4 linked regions of the Canis lupus familiaris genome follow. The protein of the gene in region 3 binds, or shares a complex with, the protein of the main gene of each other region. Links are inferred from orthologs where the notes say so. Each region holds a gene or a part of one and is shown on either strand. Other genes may lie near its edges. The genes, in order: ARPC3, ACTR2, ARPC4 and ARPC1B.

Region 1 (4,474 bases), on a different chromosome or scaffold from region 3:
CCACCTTCCTTCTACCCTCTTTTTGACCTCATTCCTCACACGAACTAAGAGCAGAAAGGAAGAAAGGATAGTTGAGGAACGATCAGGATCATTGAAGTTTCTTTATTTCTTCATCTCATGGCCAGAACACAGAAGTATATATAGAAATAACATAGCATGTAGGGTTTTTTCATTTTGAACTGGCACATGGTAGGTGCTTTATTAATGTTGAACAAATAAAAATGTCTAGATCTTGGGTTGGCAAACTTCCTCTATAAGAGATCAAATATTAAATATTTTAGGTTTTGTGGGCCAGTCTTTGTCACAACTATTCAATCCAGCTGCTGTGGCATGAAACCAGTCATAGACACTATGATAAAAAATGAATGTGGCTGTGTTCCAATAAAACTTTATTCATAAATGCTCTACATGCAGCTCCCCCTGATCATACTCTCTTAACAACAATAACAACAAAAAGAGGCAGTGGGCCAGATTTGGCTCTCAGGCTGTAGTTTGTTGACCCATGGTATAGACTTTGGAGGAAAAACGAGAAACTAATACTGAGTCTAATATTAGGCACTATTCTGGTTTTAAATTTTTTTAAATTTTATTTATTTTTTATTTGAGAGAGAGAGAGCACAGAGTATAAGTAGGGAGGGGAGGGAAAGGGGCAGAACGAGAGGGAAAAAGACTCTCTGCTCAGCCCAGAACCAGATGTGGGACTTGATCCCAGGAACCCAGGATCATGACCTGAGTCGATGGCAGATACTTTACCAACTGAGCCACTCAGGTGCCCCACTATTCTCATTTTTTAAAGTCATACAATCTCATTCAATTTTATTTATTCTTCAGAACAACCCTGACTACCAGGTAGCTTATTATCCACACCAGAAAACTAAATTAAATATTAAAAGCTCTGTACTTTACCTTAATCTCATAGTTTTTGAAGAAGACATTGGCCTTGAAGTAATAAATGGCTTCATCCACAATATCTGTATCTTTTGCTAAACAGGACCGAAGAGGGGGGTGGAGGCAGAGAACATGAGCTAAAATATAACAATAACACTTAAAAAAGCTAGAGAGTAAACTTCCCAGCTCCATGGTCAAAGGAGTTGAGTTCCATAAAATGAGGCCACTGAAATATAATGTCTTTAGAAACAATATCTAGAAAAATAAGGATATGGTTTATTCTGATAGCTTTATTGTTTTTATAAAAAAATATTCTCATTAGGAACAAATTAACCAGTACCAAAAAACATTTTATTGTCACTCTAAATCTCACTACCTAGAAATAACTACTATTATCATTTGGTGAACATCATTCCAGACATTGAGAGATGTCTCAATGTTCATTTATAAAAATGAACTTAGGCATAGACTAAACCTTGATAAGATGCTGTTTAAATAAAAAGTATTCAATCTAATTCTATTTGAATTTATATTCTATGGTTTCAGGCGGAAAAAAACCCTCAACTATCATTTAGGAACACACTGGGCTTACACATACATCTTTCTTTTTATGAAAACCGTGCTTAAAATATACTTGTACATGCTGTTCTAGGTGGCGAGAGACTGAGAAAAGCCAGAAATGCTGTTGTGACAAAGACAGATCTCATTATACAATTTCTTTGGCAGGTTTTTGTTTTCCTTTTCTTATTTTAAAAAGGTCAAAATCCCAGGGTCTTGATATCCAGCAGCCGGTTGCAGCAATGCAGAGACAGTTTTTTGGTGGTCTTTTTTTTTTTTTTTTTTCCAGAGTTATTTATATTGTCCAATGACTGCTCTCCCTCTCACACAGAAGAAATGCAAAGTAATCCTGGAGGTTTAGTACTCTGTGATTCAGCTGTCTTTAACCCTACTCATTCCCCTGCTAAAGAACGCAACAGAATTCTAACTCTAGACTCCTGTTCTTGCAATTTTCTTATGTGCAAAAAGGAAACTTCCTCAGAAGATTCCATATTGTTTATAAAACCAGCTAGTTCTTCTAAATGTAACAATGTGGGGGTGGGGGGTGAGGAACGGGGCGGGGGTGGGCTACAAGATTCAGAACCTAGAAGGGTGTTTGGCACAGAAAGGTGCTCAAAAGGTGTCTGATGAATGTAAAGAAATGAATTTGATTAATGCTAACAGTTATTTTGCTCACAGCATAGGCCTGTACTCTTTCATAATTCCAGTTCAGTTCCAATCCTGTCCACTGGGAAAGAATAACAGGTCATTCTCTGTCTACAGAAACCATGTCCATCTGGTTTCTTGGGGTCCTGCTCTCCCTCAAGGGCCCACGAGTTGTTGCGAAGGTGGTAATTAGATACACTCCATCTCTAGTCAACTGCATCTTCTGATATGCTACATGGTATTTTGTAAAGATCTGAAAAGAGTTCTTCTCAAGGAATCTGGGCCAACATGGATTTTTTTATTCTTTCTTTGCACTGTAATTCTTTTACATTATTTTTCTTCTTTTAAATCTTTTTTTTTTTTCCCATCTGTTCCTTTTTCTTCATCTCAGAATCAAGTAAAAACTGTGGTAACTCACCAAGTTTATTTAGTTTACTGAGCTTTCAACTGGTGTTGAAAATAAACTTAAGGAGAGGTCACGTCAAATAGTCTGGCAGAGGAATGAAGATGGGGTCAGTGCAAATTGCAATGAAAACCTTAAAAACCTTGAATGGAACTCAGTGCAGATGCTTTCTGGATGCAAGGAAGCCATGTCTGCTATAATATAAATTACACTGTTGGTAGAACATCTCAGAATGTATCCAAAGAGTCTAAAAAGAAGGAGGCTTTCTGAACAGTAAGGAAATGTTTCAAAAAAAAGGGGAAGTACTAAAAAAAGAAAAGATATAAAATTCAGAAAAGCAAGAGAAACAATGTGTAATTTTACATAAGACACTTACAACTTAAGATCCAGGTACTGCTGAAAATGAAGATCCTGAAGAATGAATAAAGGAAGTAGATACAGACAGGGGAAGGAGTTAAAATGTCTTCTTTGTTTTCCTCAGCCTTACAACAGAAAAAGGATGGGGACATGGTATCCTACAGAAGTAGTAGCATTAGATCACTTTGTAAGTACTGACAGTGATGACAGAATAATGTCAAAAATAAGTAATATTTCCTCATCCCTCTCAACAAAATATTCAGAAGAACTCAGCAGCATTAATACACTTTCTTACTAGATGCAATGTATACTCCTGATCTTGAAAGGTCTAGAATGCAATATCCACCAAACAAATAGAATATCCAAGAGCAGTCTGAGACAGAGGACTGAGCTAAGAATTTGCCTGATTTGTTAATGTCAGAGAGTTGCTAGATGTTTTCTACTAAAATCTGAGAACAATAGAAAGAAGTTTTGACTTACTCTCTCTAGGGGCGGGTCCTTTGAATTGACTTCTGATAGGCAACAATGCCATGTTTCCAATGAGTTTGGTGTCAGGGTCCATGAGAGAAGAGTGGTAAGCCTGTAGTGGCAAGCCAGGTAAGAATATGGAGACAGAAAGAGAGCAAACATCAGCAGGGCACACAAGAAACATTTCTCTAAAGGGAAAAAGAAGAACCCACCCAAGACTAACCAGGAGGAGGATCAAAGGTTGGTAGCAGCAATACGCTAGAGCTGGCTTTTACTGGCTCAAGAAAACTGAATGTTAAATTTTGAGCAATTATTTTTAAAATATTTTAATTATTTATTCATGAAAGACAGAGAGAGAAAGAGAGAGAGGCAGAGACACAGGCAGAGGGAGAAGCAGGCTCCATGCAGGGAGCCTGATGTGGGACTCGATCCTGGGACTCCAGGATCACGCCCTGGGCTGAAGGCAGGTGCTAAACCGCTGGGCCACCCAGGGATTCCCAATTTTGAGCAATTAAAAAAATTATTTAAATAATCTGCACCCCACATGGGGCTCGAACTCACAACCCGGAGATCAAAAGTTGCATGCTCTTGGGATGCTTGGGTGGCTCAGAGGTTGGGCATCTGCCTTTGGCTTGGGTAGGGATCCCGGAGTTCCGGGATCAAGTCCTGCATCTGGCTCCCTGTGGGGAGCCTGCTTCTCCCTCTGCCTGTGTCTCTGCCTCTCTCTCATGAATAAATGAATAAATCTTTATATTTTTTTTAAAAAAAGAGTTGCATGCTCTTCCCACTGAGCCAGCCAGAAGCATCTATGTTTTGAGGAATTTTGAAAAATATTGAGGCAAGCTGGTTATTAAAAACAGCCGTTAATGGGATGCCTGGATGGCTCAGCAGTTGAGTGTCTGCCTTCGGCTCAGAGTGTGATCCCTGGTCCAGGGATTGAGTCCCACATCGGGCTCCCTGCATGGAGCCTGCTTCTCCCTCTGCCTGTGTCTCTGCCTCTCTCTCTCTCTCTGTGTCTTTCATGAATAAAGAAAATCCTTAAAAAAAAAGCCATTATTAAAAATTAAATTATGTAAATTTGCATTTAAGTGCATTATATTGAAAACAAATGTGATAAATGCTGAAAATTCATTACTTCATATTTTTAAAAATTAT
Region 2 (5,227 bases), on a different chromosome or scaffold from region 3:
GCATATTTCCCTGGGGCCTCCTATCCATCCTAATTTCTCAAACTTTCAACTACTATGGCAGCTTTAATCTATTTTATATGTTGAAGTTCCACATAAGATTATATTTGAGGGGCACACCTGAGTGGCTCAGTCAGTTAAGTGGTAGACTGGATTTTGACTCAGGTCATGATCTCAGGGTCCTGGGATTGACCCCTGCATCAGGCTCCACGCTCAGCAGGGATTCTGCTTACGGATTCTCTCTTTCCCTCTCCTGCTGTCCCTGCCATGCTCAAGCACTCTCTCTCTAAAACAAATAATCTTTAAAAAAAAAAAAAAAAAAGAAGAAGACTAAATTCAAATAAACTGGTCTAATAAAAGAAAGAGGTGAAAACTGAGAGGCAGCCTATTATAATACTGGACTGAAGGATTCATGATCCAAGTTTTATTCTAGTCGCTGTACATACACAGCCATGTGAAAGGCACAATTGTAGTTGTCACCTGTCAAAAATGCTGGCATTTTTTTCTAGGTAAATTTTGACATCACTTATCCAATACTTGTTGAGTGTAATGAGCGCGATATTATGCATATATCCATGATAAACTAATTAGTGAAGAAAAAGAGCAAAGAGCATCTTGAGGGTTATCAGCAAAGTCTTCATCTTTGTGCAGATGTGCAGACATCTCCTGATTGGATTTAAAAAAAAAAAGGTAGAGGCATTATAGGTAGAAAGAACGATACATTTAGAAGTAATTAATAATAAACAGCTACCACTGAATGGATACTTTATGCATGGAATTTTATCCTCACAACCAGCCATGGAAGCAGAGGTTAGCATTCCAATGCATAGGCGAGGGTATGGCCAAATCACAGAATGCTTGAGTGGCAGGGCCGTATTTGAAACTGGGGTCGTCGGATTTCGAAGCCAAGACTCTGGGTGCAAACAGGTGCATACACTGGAGAGGTGTGGAGTAGCGAGGGTGCTGCTGGATTTCGAAGCCGAGACTCTGGGTGCAAATAGGTACATACACTGGAGAGGTGTGGACTAGCGAGGTGCTGCTGGATTTCGAAGCTGAGACTCTGAGTGCAAATAGGTACATACACTGGAGAGGCGTGAGGTGTGAAGCAGCGAGGTGCTGCTGGATTTCGAAGCCGAGACTGGGTGCAAGCAGGTGCATACACTGGAGAGGTGTGGAGTAGCGAGGTGCTGCTGGATTTCGAAGCTGAGACTCTGGGTGCAAACAGGTGCATACACTGGAGAGGCATGAAGCAGCGAGGTGCTGCTGGATTTCGAAGCCAAGACTCTGGGTGCAAATAGGTACATACACTGGAGAGGCGTGAGGTGTGAAGCAGCGAGGTGCTGCTGGATTTCGAAGCCGAGACTGGGTGCAAGCAGGTGCATACACTGGAAAGGTGTGGAGTAGCGAGGTGCTGCTGGATTTCGAAGCCGAGACTGGGTGCAAACAGGTGCATACACTGGAGAGTGTGGAGCAGCGGGGTGCTGCTGGAAAGGAAGTGGTGAGCCACGGGCCTAAAAAGGTAGGTGCCCACTACCGCCCTCTTGACTAAAGGCAAATTGGGCAAAAAGGGTGGGGGGTGGGCTGGAATTGGGAGATATCAGGACAAACGCATGACTTCATGTGTGTGTATCCAGCCCAGTTCTGTTCCCCGAAGAGGCCTGGGGAGCAAGGACAACCGCAAGCCGTGCTCAAAGGTGGGGTCAGCAGGGACGTGCAGGTTTGCTTCCCCTGCGTCCGCCCGCTCCGCTGTCTCCTCTCGCCACGGATGCACGGTCCCTCACCTTCCTGCCTGCCTCTTTTGCAGACAGCTAAGCAGCCCCCTCAACTCCTGCGACGCCCGGGACCGCAGCACCCGCCAGCCCCGCCGCCATGAAAGCCCGGCGAAGCTCCCGGAACCGGAAGCAGCGAGGAAGAGCCCGGGTGGGCGGTGACCGCGACGGCGGAAACCCGATCTGTGGGCGGGGCCTCGTCGCGTCTCCGCCTCTTATTGGACCTCACGCCTGCCAGTCTCTGTCTCCGCCCTCTTATCCCCGCCCCTTCCGTGCGTTCCGTGTCTTAAACGGCGGGTGGGGCCGGGCGGAGACTTCCGGTTGGTGGAAGAAAGTTGGGGCGGAGGAGGGGCCGCGAGGAAGGAGGAGGAAGAGGAAAGGGCCGGGCGGCGGGGGCTGTAGGTCGTTCGGCGGCGGCGGCTCTCTTCCGGGAGGACGATGGACAGCCAGGGCAGGAAGGTGGTGGTGTGCGACAACGGCACCGGGGTAAGCGCCCGGCCGGGGACGTGCTGGTGGCGCGGCGGCCCTCGGCGCTCGCGGCGGCGCCCATGGGCCCTCGGGCCGCCGGGACCCGGGGGCGCGGGGCAGCGCTTCCGGCCTCCGCGGGCGTGGGGGGCGAGCTGACCCGGGGCAGCTCGGGGTCGGGGCGGCGGGCCTGGCGGACGCTGGAGGCGGAGGGGTGGGGTGGGGGATGGGGAGGCCCGGGGGGACCCAGCCTGCAGCCCGGCCGCCGCCGCCGCGCCCAACGGGGATGCTCTGGCTAGAGGGCTGCAGGGGTCAAAGGCCGGGCAGGTAGGTCTGCTCCATGAGGATTCTGTTCCCCAGGGTCGCTGCTTCTGTAGAAGGGAGAAGCACCAGGAGGGCCTTCCTCTTCCTGTAGAATTGAAGATACCGAACGGCAGGCAGGAAACGAGCTCGAGGAGAGAAAAAAAAAAAAAAAAGGGGGAAGTGCTGTCATGCAACGAGCCGCAGCCCTTTCGCAGTTTTCGGGCAGCCGCAGTTTTTGGAGCTGTTCCCCCCTTACCCGGGGGTGAGGGAGCAGCGTGGAGCCAAGCATCATTTACTTTTTGTTATGCAGGCTGGGAATTTGGCCTCGGTGCAGCCTCCGCAGAGGCACGTCTGTGTCCATTGATCTTGGGAGATCTGGGACACCCCCCGCCCCCCCCCCCCACTAAGGCTCAAGTGTTCATTGTGGACCTTGCAGGGGAAGTTCACCAATTCTGGTAACTCCCTCCCCCATCCTACTTCCTTAGATGCAGAAACACAGATCATGTTAAGTTTTTAAGATTCCAAAAGACAGACGATTGTTAAAAAAAAAAAAAAATTGGCTAAACACTGATTTAGAAATCATGTGAAAGTTGTTGCGTTCAAACCCCTCCCCCCATTAAAAAAAAACGCAACCTATTTGGAGTGGCACATTAGGAGACAGAAGTGTTACTGGGATGGATGAGTTCTGTAGTGATCATTTGCCCCTACATTGCAATGATTTCTTTTCTTTTTTTTTTTTTTTTTTTTTAAGATTTTTATTTATTTACTCATGAGAGACACACAGAGAGAGAGGGGCAGAGGGAGAAGCAGGCTCCATGCAGGGAGCCTGACGTGGGACTCCATCCAGGGTCTCCAGGATCACGCCCTGGGCCGAAGGCAGGCGCTAAACAGCTGAGCCACCTGGGCTGTCCCATTGCAATGATTTCCAATCATTTTGGACTTAGGGTATTTTATGACTTTTCTCCTCTTTTTTCCATAAATGTAGCATACGAATGAAAATAGGCTTCCAGGGATCCCTGGGTGGCGCAGCAGTTTGGCGCCTGCCTTTGGCCCAGGGCGCGATCCTGGAGTCCTGGGATCGAGTCCCACGTCGGGCTCCCGGTGTATGGAGCCTGCTTCTCCCTCTGCCTATGTCTCTGCCCCTCTCTCTCTCTCTCTCTCTCTCTCTCTCTCTCTGTGTGACTATCATAAATAAAATAAAAAAAATAAAATAAAATAAAAAAGAAAATAGGCTTCCAGTTATGAAGTGGATAAATCACAGGGATGACAAGTACGAATCTGGTCAGTGGCATCTTTACAGCACTTATATGATGACCGATGACAGCTACATCTGTGGTGTGGGAGGCACGACATACAGTTGTCAAATCACTACGTTGTACACCTGAAAAAAAATTTTTTTACTTGAATTTTAAAATATTCTGGAAATTGGATTGTTGGGATGAAAAATAAAAGAGCTGATATTTACTGGCATAATACTACCCTTACTGTTTTACAGACTTTCAGAAGCGATGATTATATTAGTTTTGTATGAACTAAGTTAAAAACAAGAGAGTAAGAAGAGATATAATCATGGGACATCCGTTCAAAATCGTATACTTAAAAAAAAAAAAAAGAAAGAGAAAAGATCCACCACTATGGAAACATGTAAATATGTTTCTGTGTCCACAAACTTCTAAAGTTTTAGAGGGAGAAATAAGTTCGTAGAGGTTACCCTGTGAGTTTGGGGATAAGAGGGAGGGAAGATGGGAAAGGCTTTGTGACTCTTCTGCATTATTCGAAAGTGGTCTGTTTTGTTTTTTAAGAAAACATGAGACTCTTCAAATTAACTACAAACATTACTTTTATAGCTGAAAGTCAGTTAAAGGTGCTTTAAAAAAAAAAAAGTAGCTTGATTCCCCCTGTAGTCTCAAATTGACCTCTAAATAAATCTAAGACTTTAAAAATTGAATTTAAAATATTTTTGTAGATATATTTTATATTCCCTTTAGAAATCAGAGCCTTTATATTTCAGTGGATTCCTTCTCTTCGAATGATAATGAGCTCTGTATTTGTAGTGTATGAGCTTTTTGATATTCAATTAGAATAGGAGTGTTAGCCATGAGTTCTTTTTTTATTACTATTTCATTAGTTTACCTGAGGTAGAAAGCTGATTGTATGTTACTGATTAGGCTTATGGCTAATCCATAATTTAAGATTCTTGTACTTTAAGAGATCAGTAAAGGAAAAATGTAGTTAATTTGAACAAAATTTATGTATTTGGTGTTACATTTCTAATTACTTTAAAAATTTATCTGAATTTTCTATAGACCTGACTGGCTTCAAATGAAGAAATAGTTCTGATGTAATATGTAGCTAGGAATGCTGTGATATTTCTGAAAATTTAGAGTATTCTAAATACAGAAATTCTCTATTTCTTACTGCTTATATTTCATAGTCCTCTTGATTTAGTTTAGGTACCTAAAGCTATACTGAGTTATCTACAAGTAAATACTAAGGTGTTCAAATTTAATTTCTAAAAACTTATGTAAATAGTTGTTAGTCTTTTTTTTTTTTAAGATTTTTTTAAAATTTTTATTTATTTATGATAGTCACGGAGAGAGAGAGAGGCAGAGACACAGGCAGAGGGAGAAGCAGGCTCCATGCACCGGGAGCCCAACGTGGGATTCGATCCCGGATCTCCAGGATCGTGCCCT
Region 3 (4,474 bases):
ACAGACTTATACATTATTGGCTCAAATACAGATTGAGGATAGTCATTCACCTGTATGCCTCTAGACCAGAATTTCTCAACCTCAGCACTATTTGGGGTAGAATAATTCCTTTATTTTTATTAATTTATTGTTCTAGGCTTTATTATAGAGAGAGAGCAGGGGAGGAGGGGGCAGAGAGAGGGGGAGAAACTCTCAAAGGGACTCTGCACTGAGCTCGCAGCCTGATGTGGGGCTAGATCCCACAACTCCGAGATCATGACTCAAGCTGAAATCAAGAGTCAGACATTTGAGCCACCCAGGCACCCCTGAATAATTCTTCTTTGTGCATTGTAGGATGTTTAGCAATATACTGGGCCTTGACTCGATGCCAGTAGCACTCCCGCCATATGCCAAATCCCGTCAATGAAAAATGTCCCTACATTGCTGCATGTCCGCTGGCAAGAAAAATGGTCCCCTGTTGAGAGCCACTCTTGATTTAGAATCAAAGGCACCTTGAAGGCCCAGTCTATTTGGTTCACTGTGGTGTCTGAGAGCCAGGTACTCTCAGTACTGCCTGGTTCCCATGTAGCTGGAGGAGAGTTTGCTAAAACAGATTCTGTTTCAGTTGGGGGTTTGCTAAAATAGATTGTGATTCTCCCTTGGGTTTTTTTCCTACAGACTGCCACTCTCCGCCCCTACCTGAGTGCCGTGCGGGCCACACTGCAGGCTGCCCTCTGCCTGGAGAATTTCTCCTCCCAGGTCGTGGAACGACACAACAAGCCAGAAGTGGAAGTCAGGTAGGGAAGAAAAAGGTCAAGGTGGGGGTGATGAGCTCAGTCCCAGAGATGGCAGTTATCTGGAGTTCGCCATGAATTTCCGTTCCAGAGTGGTCAAGCCAACTATAGTTCACATATTTTGTCTTGTTGCCAGATGAGCAGTGGTTCCCAATTTGCAGTTCAGAAAATAGGGTCAGTGGGTTGGCAGGACAAAACCCAGGGGAGAAGCTCCTCTGGAGCCAAGATTGCTTGACACAAGATCTGGCTTCTCAGAGTAGGACTGTTCGGTAAGAATCTCCTGTGTCATTATTGAACCCAATTTAAGGAGAGAGTGGAGAATTTTGTTTGATGCCTTCTCCATCCTCTTGGAATTTAAAGATCAGGGAATGTTTTTTCTCCGACCAACCCGGACTGTCTCATCCCTTACTCTAAATACTTCATATTTTGGGTTATTTTCTCTTACCTAGTTTATGTTTTGTTAAATTATTCTGTTCTCCTTTAAAGTTTAATCTGATACACATATAACTGAGATAAGCAATATTACCACACCATGTTCAAATGATTTGAATTTAAAAATACTGACAAGATGTTAGCGTTTGTTGTGCTGCTCTACTTAACATATGTGATTTCTACTGGGCATTTTAATTACCGTTACAAATACTTAGAGATTTCAGAGGCATCAAAATGGAAGCTGAGCTGAGAGGGGTCTTAATGCTAAATAAGTGAATCATTCTGGATTGATAATTAAAGGAGACCAAACTCTGTTTGATTTTAGCTTATCCTTATCCCTAATGCAGCCTCTTTTCTCATTCCCTAAATGGTATATGGGTTTGCCCGTAGTTATTAAAATAAGAGCTGTCATTTATAAAGCTCCTACCATGTGCCAGGCACTCTTAATAGACAATTGACCCTTTCTGATCTCTCTCAATCCTCACCAGTGAAATAGGAATCAGTCATTTTACAGATGAGGAAATTGAGATTCCAACAGGGTAACTTGTCCAAGGAAAGTAACAGAGGAGGCTGGATTTCAAAACCTTATCGCCCTGACTCCAGAGCCTTGCTCCTTCTGTTGGAGAACACACTCGCTGGCCCCCATCTTGGAGCACCCCTACTTGTGAGTCTCCTATTCCTTGGACTCTGTGGTCTCAGATAGAGATTCCAGGGCCTGCTGTGGGTCTCTCTGAGCATTCTGTTCCTCTGTAGTACAGATGCCTCTGTGACATTGTATTTTCAGGAGTAGCAAAGAGCTCCTGTTACAACCTGTGACCATCAGCAGGAATGAGAAGGAAAAAGTTTTGATTGAGGGCTCCATCAACTCTGTCCGGGTCAGCATTGCTGTGAAACAGGTGAGCTCATTACTGAGCCCTTGCCTCCTCAGGAGGTCAGGGGTCCCCATCTGAGAGATCGTCATGCCAGATTCAAGGTGCAAGGAAACCCAGGCTCCATTTCCTTGACTATACCCAGGGAATGGTTCTCCAGATTCAGCAGGTCAGTAGAGACAGCAACCATATCTTCTAGGCTTCCTTTAGATTAGAAGTGTGGAAAAGTTGCAGCTAAGGCCATGGCCAGTTTGGTGTCTGGTCAAAGAATCATTTATAAGGAAGGCAGAATAAGTCCAGTTTAGAAAAATAAATAATAGGGCAGCCCAGGTGGCTCAGCGGTTTAGCACTGCCTTAAGCCTAGGGCATGATTCTGGAGACCTGGGATCGAGTCCCATGTCGGGCTCCCTGCATGGAGCCTGCTTCTCCCTCTGCCTGTGTCTCTGACTCTCTATCTGTTTATCGAATAAATAAATAAAATCTTTAAGAAAAAAAAAAATACCAGTATCAATTTAATAGCCATAAACTTTGAAATAGAGATTTAGCATGAAAGTGTAATTTCATTTCTTTTCTTTTCTTTTCTTTTCTTTTCTTTTCTTTTCTTTTCTTTTCTTTTCTTTTCTTTTCTTTTCTTTCTTCCTTTTCTTTCTTTCTTTTCTTTCTTTCTTTCTTTCTTTCTTTCTTTCTTTCTTTCTTTCTTTCTTTCTTTCAATTTTGTTTATTTGAGAGAGCAGAGCAAGGGAGAGCACATGGGTGGAGAGGAAGGGTGGAGGGAGAGGGACAAGCCGACACCCCGCTGAGCAGGGACCCTGATGTGGAGCTCAGTCTCAGGACCCTGCAATTATGATCTGGGCCAAAGGCAGATGCTCAACCACTGAGCCACCCAGGCATCCCAGAAAATGGATTTTCTTAAATTGACTTTTCTTTTACTTAAATTTGTTTGAAAAAGAAACTTTATGCCATAATGGAAAAACCGTATCACTTGTTACCTAGGGAGAACTCTAAAAAAAGTAAATTCAGTGAAAGAAAATAAAGCTGTTACTTAGACTGGGTCCTGTTGCCTATAGAAAGCTCTATCCTTAGGGTCTGCTCTGTTAAAAAGGGAGATTAACAAGTGTTGGGAGGTGTTAAGGGCGTACCTGCCAGCACCCAGCTGCAAAATCCTTTCATTAGAACTAGTAAGAGTTCAGGCAGCCTGGGTGGCTCAGCGGTTTAGCACCGCCGTCAGCGCAGGGCGTGATCCTGGAGACCCAGGATTGAGTCCTGCGTCGGGCTCCCTGCATGAAACCTTCTGCCTGCCTCTCTCTCTCTCTCTCTCTCTCTCTCTCTCTCTTTCTCTTTCTCTCATGAATAAATAAATAAAATATGAAAAAAACAACAACAACTAGTAAGAGTTCAGCAGGGAAAAACTTTGGGGATTATTTAATATTCATTGTTATTGAAGCGAAAACCACCTAAGTTTATCTCTGAGAACTTCAGATGGTATATATATATCATAGACTTTGGGAAATACAGCACTAGTGAATGGGAAAGGGAGAGGCCGCTTTCAGTGTAGGTATGGCCTCTGCAAGGAGCAGATAAAAGACTTGGGTTTGCCAGAACTACCGCTCTGGAATGGGTGAAAATGAAATTGTGGTAATGCCCTATTGAATTGAAGAGGCTCTCAACTGCCGACATTCAGTTGGCAGTCACCTGCCCCATGATTCAGGTAGTCATTGCTCCTGATGCCAAACCTCACTACCTGCAGCGAGTCTGGGGGAAATTGAAGTCAGAAGACCAGACTACAGGTTTCTGTTGGCCTGTATTGTCAGATTTAGGGAGCCCTGTTTATTTTTCTCTCTCACTAGGCTGATGAGATCGAGAAGATTTTATGCCACAAGTTCATGCGCTTCATGATGATGCGAGCAGAGAACTTCTTTATCCTTCGAAGGAAACCAGTGGAGGTGAGACCATGTGATCCACATGTTCATAATACCCAAGATTCTTTCACTAAGTCTACTGTCATTGCCCTGGGATTGTTGGTAGAACCAGGATTGCTGCTCTTCCAGCTGTAGGTCACCCATTGTCTGAGAGTTGGCCTTTGTTTCGGCTAGAGTGAGAATAAGGAGCATCAGAAGCTTAGGAGAAGTTGCGTCTGCCTCAACCATGGGAAAGGCAAAAAATACAGGATGCGTTGCTCATCTTTTCAGAGCCTACAGTCTAATGGCAGAAAAGACACAATGAATCAGAAATCCTTTCTAAGTTTTGTCACCAACTAAATTGTTATCTTTCAGGGCCACAGTTGACATTGGCTTAGTGTTGCCTGGCTTTGTTCTTGAGTCCTCTCCACAGACTCCTTGCCAGATCAACTCCAAATATTCCCAGTGACTGAGAAACTATCATGCAGAGCAACATGTTCCA
Region 4 (5,156 bases), on a different chromosome or scaffold from region 3:
AGGTGCAGGAGGGCTTCCAGAGCAAAGCCAACCCGGTTCCCGCTCACAGAGTTTATAATCTGTTTTCACCATGAGGAGGTAACCCTCAGGTGTTTAGATGTGTCCGGATGCTTTTAGAGATGGGTAACACAGTCTCAACCCAAACCAAGCTTAAACAGTAGAGTCCTCGGCTCACCGGTCCCAGTGGTCTGAAACCTCTGGAAGCTGGTTGGGCTCAAGCTGACCAGTCAGAGTTTGACCATGGTGCTGGTCATTTCTGGGATTTCCTCCACCTGAGCTCTATGTCATCTAGCTTCCCTTGTGCTGTTCCACTTTCGTGTTCAGATTCTTGCAGCTCACCCAGAAGAGTCTTCCCTCCCTTCCACCACCACCACCACCATCATCATCATCATCATCATCATCATCATCATCATCATCATGTCCTGGGCTTGCAGCAGCAGCAGCATCATCATCATCATCATCATCATCATCATCATCATGTCCTGGGCTTGCTTTACCCTGGCCATCTGAGCTCATGAGCTCAGGACAGGGGACCCCAGGAGCCGATGGGGTTAGAGCCATCAGGCCCATGCCAGAGGTGGGGGTCAGCTCCCCCTGGGGTCATTCCCTGGGCATCTAGAAGCCAGGGAGGCAACAGATGTGCCCTCTGTGTTAAGTTGCACTTGTCCCCCACAAGAAGGGGGTGCTGGTACAGATCATCTGAAACTTTTTCTGTTCATCCCGCAGCCATGCTGGGACTGGCCACAGCTAGATGGGAGGGCGGCGCCAGCCCCTCAGAGTCTCAGCCAGGAAGGCTGCTGGCGGTCCTTTGGTCCTTTCAAACCATAGCCGAAGCTTGCTGAGCGCTCACTGCGCGCTCACTACTGGGAGAGCTCCCACGTTTGGAGACATGGAATCCTCCCAGCCACCTTGCAGGGGCAGGATTCAGTGTTGATGGCAGCCGGGACTGGTGGGCGCAGGGTCTTGCTGGGAGCCCCGCAGTCACCTCCAGGGCAGAGGGTTGTGGACAGAGTGAGCTAAGAGACAAACCCTGCAGGGGGGGGACGGGGGGGGGGGGGGAAGTGTTCCAGGCAGAAAGAAAACCATGTGTCAAAGCCCCGGGACCTGTCAGGGTGGGCGTCTGGCCCCAGATCCCGATCCCCTGCCTCCGGAAAGACCACAGAGCCCCAGTGCGGCTTGCTGCTGCCTGCGCCTGGGAGGGAGGACTCCTGGGGAGGAGCCCCCCGCTAAGAGAGGGCGCAGGAGGGGGTTTTCGCCGGGGGCTCCCCCATCCGCGCAGCCACCTGGTCACATCTCCACCGATGAGGCAGAGGCTAAGGATAGAAAGACCCCTGGGGACCACTCGGCCCAAGACCCAAATGCATGTGGCCACAAGGCCACCAGGCAGCTGGGAGGCAGGAGTGGACTGCGGCGGATCCAGGGGCAGGAAGTCGTCAGTGCGAGCCCGCGGGCACCCGGCCCCGGGAGGGTGCTGCGGCGGGCACGGGGGGCGGGGCAGGGGCGGGGGAGGGGCGGGGGCCGCCCGCCCGCCCGCGGGCACCCGGTCCCGGGCCTGCACTTGCCGCGCCCCGTGGCCATCAGCTCCGGGAGGAGGGAAGGCGCGCACCCCGCCCAGCTGCCGCTCCGAGCCTCAGTTTCCCCGCGCGTAAAGTTGCAAGGGGCGGTTGCGGAGGAGCGCCGGGCGCCCGGGCTCCGCGCAGCCCCCACCCCGGATGGGTGGGCGGGGCCTGGGCTCTGGCCGCCACCCTGGTTGCCGCCCCGGTCCCCGCGGGGCTGAGGCTGAGGCCCCGCCCCCGCCCACGAGGAAGTGGCTGCGGCGCCGCGCGGGGCCCAGAGCCGGTTCGGCGCGTCGACTGCCCAGAGTCCGCGGCCGGGGCGCCCCGAGGTGAGGGGGCTGGGGCCGCCCGCAGGGGGTAGCGGGGAGTTGCCTGCAGGTGGGGAGGGTGCGGGGCGCCCGCGGGGGCGCAGGAGCGCGGGGAGGGGGTGCCCGGGGGAAGGGGCCCGGGGCGGGGGCTCGCCAGGTGCGTGGGGTCGCCCGGAGGCGAGAGCAGGGCGGGGACGGCGGCCCGGGCCCGGGGTGGGCGGCCGCCTCGGGGCGAGGGGAGCGCGGGGCGCCCTGGCCCGGCCTGCGCTCCCCGGCTCTACCCCGCGGCCGCTGCCCCCCGCTATTCCGGGCGGCGAGGGCCCCACGCCCAGTCACTTCCCCTCCATCCTCCAGCCTTCCGGGTTGCTCCGGCCGGGAAATGAGCTGGCGCCCCCGCCCACCTGGCCCCTCCCCCGCGCCCCCGCCCCCCGCCCCGGCCCTCCGGGCGCCCCGGGGCCGGGGCCGCCGACCCTACCCGGAGGGGGTCCCCCTTCGCCGGAGGCGGGGACCCAGCGGGGCCGCCCGGGGCGGTGACAGCAAGGCCGGCGGGACTAGCGGGAGCCCGGAGCCCGGAGCCCGGAGCCCGCCGCCCGCCTAACGCGGCGCTGAGCTGGAGGCCGTCGGCGGGCCCCCGCGCCTGGCAGGTGGTGCTGCCCCGGCCACGGGCACCGGTTCCCGGGAGGCCCCCGGGCCGGGGTTGAGCGCGCCAGCTTCCTTAGCAGGCCACCTGACGGCTCTGGACCTCAACCTTCCTCCTCTGTAAAATGGGGACCTTTCAAGTGGCGAGGCTTACCTGGGATTGTGTGTGGAAGGCACTGGGTTGTGCCAGGCACACGCTGGGTACAGGTCGGTGCTCTTCCTGCTGCCACTACCATTGTAGGGCCTGCCCGCACTTACCAAAGTGTCTGGATGATGCTAACCTCTGAGATTTGGGGGTCAGAATCCCAAACTGCCATGTAGGAGCTGTGTGGCTTTGAGAGATTCTTGTTTGTTTTTATTTATTTATTTATTTATTTATTTATTTATTTATTTATTTATTTATTTATTTTTAAAGATTTTATATCTCTGTTCATGAGAGACACACACAGAAAGAGGCAGAGAGACACAGGCAGAGGGAGAAGCAGGCTCCCCGAGGGGAGCCTGATGTGGGACTCAATCCCAGGACCCCAGGATCATGACTTGAGCCAAAGGCAGATGCTCAACTACTGAGCCACCTAGGCATCCCCGATTCTTGACTCTGAGTCTTTTTCCTCATGTACAAAATGAAGGTTTAAAAAAACACGAAAGAAACCCAAAACAACCCTTTAGGCTTGCTCTTGGGGGTAAAAGAATGTATGTCAAAGCTGTGGGTAAAAATGCTGTGCATTTAAAGATGCCGGTAAAGGTAGTTTATGTGTGTCTATGTACATAATCCACACAGGTCTTTTCAAATAGTTAAATGATATCCCAACATGTTAGTGTCACAATTTACTCTTGCCATATTTGTAGTCATCTGGATTTTTCCACCCTTCCACCATTCTAGAGGGGGTTATTATGAACATGTTTGCTTAAAAAAAAAAAAAAAAGTCGGTGGTTATTTTCTTAGCACCAAAATGAATCTATGCCACCAAAGAGTGTTAATTTTTAAGTTCCTGTTTGTGTTATTCTGCTTGTTCCTACCCAGTTGTTGAATTGTTTTTACATCGCTCTTCTGAAAGGCTGAACAAATGAGAATTTCTCCACAACCCTGCCAACATTGAGTTTTATGTGTTTTTGGATTTTGTTTTGTTTGGATTGCTTTATTAGTACGCTTTATGGTGCTTTCTATGATTGTTTTCATTTATGTGTCTTGACTTGATTTTTGCCTGGTTAAGACTTCAGGAGCAGAGTTGGGGAGGAGGTTTTGGCTGGTCTGGGGTGGCAAGGCCTATTCCATACACAACAGGAAGTTGAGTAACTGCTTAGCACGTGTACAAAATGGCTTACTGGCAACTCCCTGGAGCGTCTGAGCTGGGTGGGGACTTCCCTGAGTGCCTGTAGGGCCAAGATCCTGCTCCAGATGGCTCCTGCCTAGATTAGCCTCAGATACAGCCAAACCTCTGGCTTCAGAGAACCTTGGCCAGGTTTTTCTAGAAGCAATAAGGAACCTACAGCTAGTGCCTTGTTCAGCCCCCACCTTTTCTGGTAGAGATGTGAAGGAAGTATTGGCTGAGGGCATCCAGTTGGTATGGAGAGTTAGAATTTGACCCTAACGCTGTAAGGAAGGAGCCCTGAGGCCCTCGGTCAGGCAGCCCAAGGCTCTACCTGGCTTGCTTTGCTCTGAGGGGAGCTGAGTTCTTCCCAAGTGCTCAGCAGAGGATCTTCTAGATTTCAGATTTCCAAGTTTTGCTAATCATTGACCCTAATCAGGAAGAACACAAAACAAAACTGAACACATACTCCCCAGTAAATATTTACAAATTGCATACATATGTCACTGAAATAATAAAGCATATTCATTCCTTGGAGCCTATCCCCTAAAGAAAAGGATGGGATTTATTCAATTTGCCTTCAAGAAATACGTATTGAGCACCTGTTATGTGCCAGGAACTCTAATTGGTGCTGAGGATACGTGGGTGGACATAGCACCTACCATGCCCCTAGATAGTTCGCGTCCATACCCCGGTGCATGGTTTCTGGCATGGCACCCTCTGGATGGAAACCACACTCTGGAGACCCAAAACCCCTCCCAGACCTCATGCCGCTCTTCCCTGTGCTCTCCCACGCCCAGCCCTGGGTAATCTCCAGCCCATTTGTACTGAGCCTTCACTGTGTGCTGAAAGGACGCAGGGAACGTGCCGCTGGGAACACAGAGATCCTGGCGTTAGGCTGGCAGAGGGGAGCCAGCCAGGGGAGACTCCACATTTGACCCACACTCCCCCAGCCTCTGTTTCTGGGATAATGAGGCACAGATCACTGCACGTGGACTCCAAGTCCCAACACGGTTCCTCTCTCTGTCCTCAACAGTCAAATGGGCCCATGGTGCTGGCTCACGGGGCTGCCTTGACAAGTGGGTGGGTGTCCTGGAGGCCATGGCCTCAGCCTCCCTTTGTCTCCCCGTCCCCGGAGCCATTGCTGAGGCTTTGTGTTGTTAACAGGCTTGGGCAAAAGCAACTCTAGTTGCATAGTCTTTAGGGTGACTGGCTGGCAGTCGGTGCCTTCCCATCCCCCCATGGAGGTTTTCCTGGGAAGGATTAAGTCAAAGTTCCCGCAGCAGGGGGTGGCCCAGTGTGAAGGCTGTGTTGTTGCTTTGCCTGACCACGGGAACAATCCA

What was found.
Region 1: ARPC4 (region 3) and ARPC3 share a complex: the UniProt entries of both Homo sapiens proteins name them as parts of the arp2/3 complex. The link is inferred for Canis lupus familiaris from reciprocal best matches to the Homo sapiens genes ARPC4 and ARPC3.
Region 2: the proteins of ARPC4 (region 3) and ACTR2 are in contact, whole or in part, in a cryo-EM structure (PDB 6YW6), measured with the Homo sapiens proteins. The link is inferred for Canis lupus familiaris from reciprocal best matches to the Homo sapiens genes ARPC4 and ACTR2. Residues at the interface, in NP_005709.1 of Homo sapiens: Val29, Val30, Glu31, Arg32, His33, Lys35, Pro36, Glu39, Val40, Ala98, Glu99, Asn100, Phe102, Ile103, Leu104, Arg105, Arg106, Lys107, Leu117, Thr119; in NP_005713.1 of Homo sapiens: Tyr222, Val223, Tyr225, Gln229, Glu230, Lys232, Leu233, Ala234, Leu235, Glu236, Thr237, Thr238, Val239, Lys253, Thr308, Met309, Tyr310, Pro311, Gly312, Pro314, Ser315, Asp346.
Region 4: the proteins of ARPC4 (region 3) and ARPC1B are in contact, whole or in part, in a cryo-EM structure (PDB 6YW6), measured with the Homo sapiens proteins. The link is inferred for Canis lupus familiaris from reciprocal best matches to the Homo sapiens genes ARPC4 and ARPC1B. Residues at the interface, in NP_005709.1 of Homo sapiens: Gln17, Cys21, Leu22, Glu23, Asn24, Phe25, Ser26, Ser27, Gln28, Val29, Glu31, Arg32, Glu45, Leu46, Leu48, Glu124, Gln125, Tyr127, Lys128, His129; in NP_005711.1 of Homo sapiens: Glu9, Pro10, Asn28, Gln54, Thr72, Arg74, Asn96, Arg97, Ala98, Arg100, Ser143, Thr144, Cys162, Trp204, His206, Leu245, Pro246, His263, Ala319, Gly320, Lys326, Asn327, Ser328, Met350.

The regions. Positions count from the first base shown.
Region 1 is NC_049247.1:8,501,741-8,506,214, forward strand, and holds part of ARPC3 (actin-related protein 2/3 complex subunit 3), read right to left. Parts: intron 3,432-4,474; coding exon 3,332-3,431; intron 1,026-3,331; coding exon 907-1,025; intron 1-906. UniProt on the Homo sapiens protein: Component of the Arp2/3 complex, a multiprotein complex that mediates actin polymerization upon stimulation by nucleation-promoting factor (NPF).
Region 2 is NC_049231.1:65,984,740-65,989,966, forward strand, and holds the start of ACTR2 (actin-related protein 2), read left to right. Parts: upstream 1-2,069; 5' UTR 2,070-2,204; coding exon 2,205-2,252; intron 2,253-5,227. UniProt on the Homo sapiens protein: ATP-binding component of the Arp2/3 complex, a multiprotein complex that mediates actin polymerization upon stimulation by nucleation-promoting factor (NPF).
Region 3 is NC_049241.1:8,515,830-8,520,303, reverse strand, and holds part of ARPC4 (actin-related protein 2/3 complex subunit 4), read left to right. Parts: intron 1-657; coding exon 658-776; intron 777-1,989; coding exon 1,990-2,101; intron 2,102-3,921; coding exon 3,922-4,017; intron 4,018-4,474. UniProt on the Homo sapiens protein: Actin-binding component of the Arp2/3 complex, a multiprotein complex that mediates actin polymerization upon stimulation by nucleation-promoting factor (NPF).
Region 4 is NC_049227.1:10,284,414-10,289,569, reverse strand, and holds the start of ARPC1B (actin-related protein 2/3 complex subunit 1B), read left to right. Parts: upstream 1-1,738; 5' UTR 1,739-1,885; intron 1,886-5,156. UniProt on the Homo sapiens protein: Component of the Arp2/3 complex, a multiprotein complex that mediates actin polymerization upon stimulation by nucleation-promoting factor (NPF).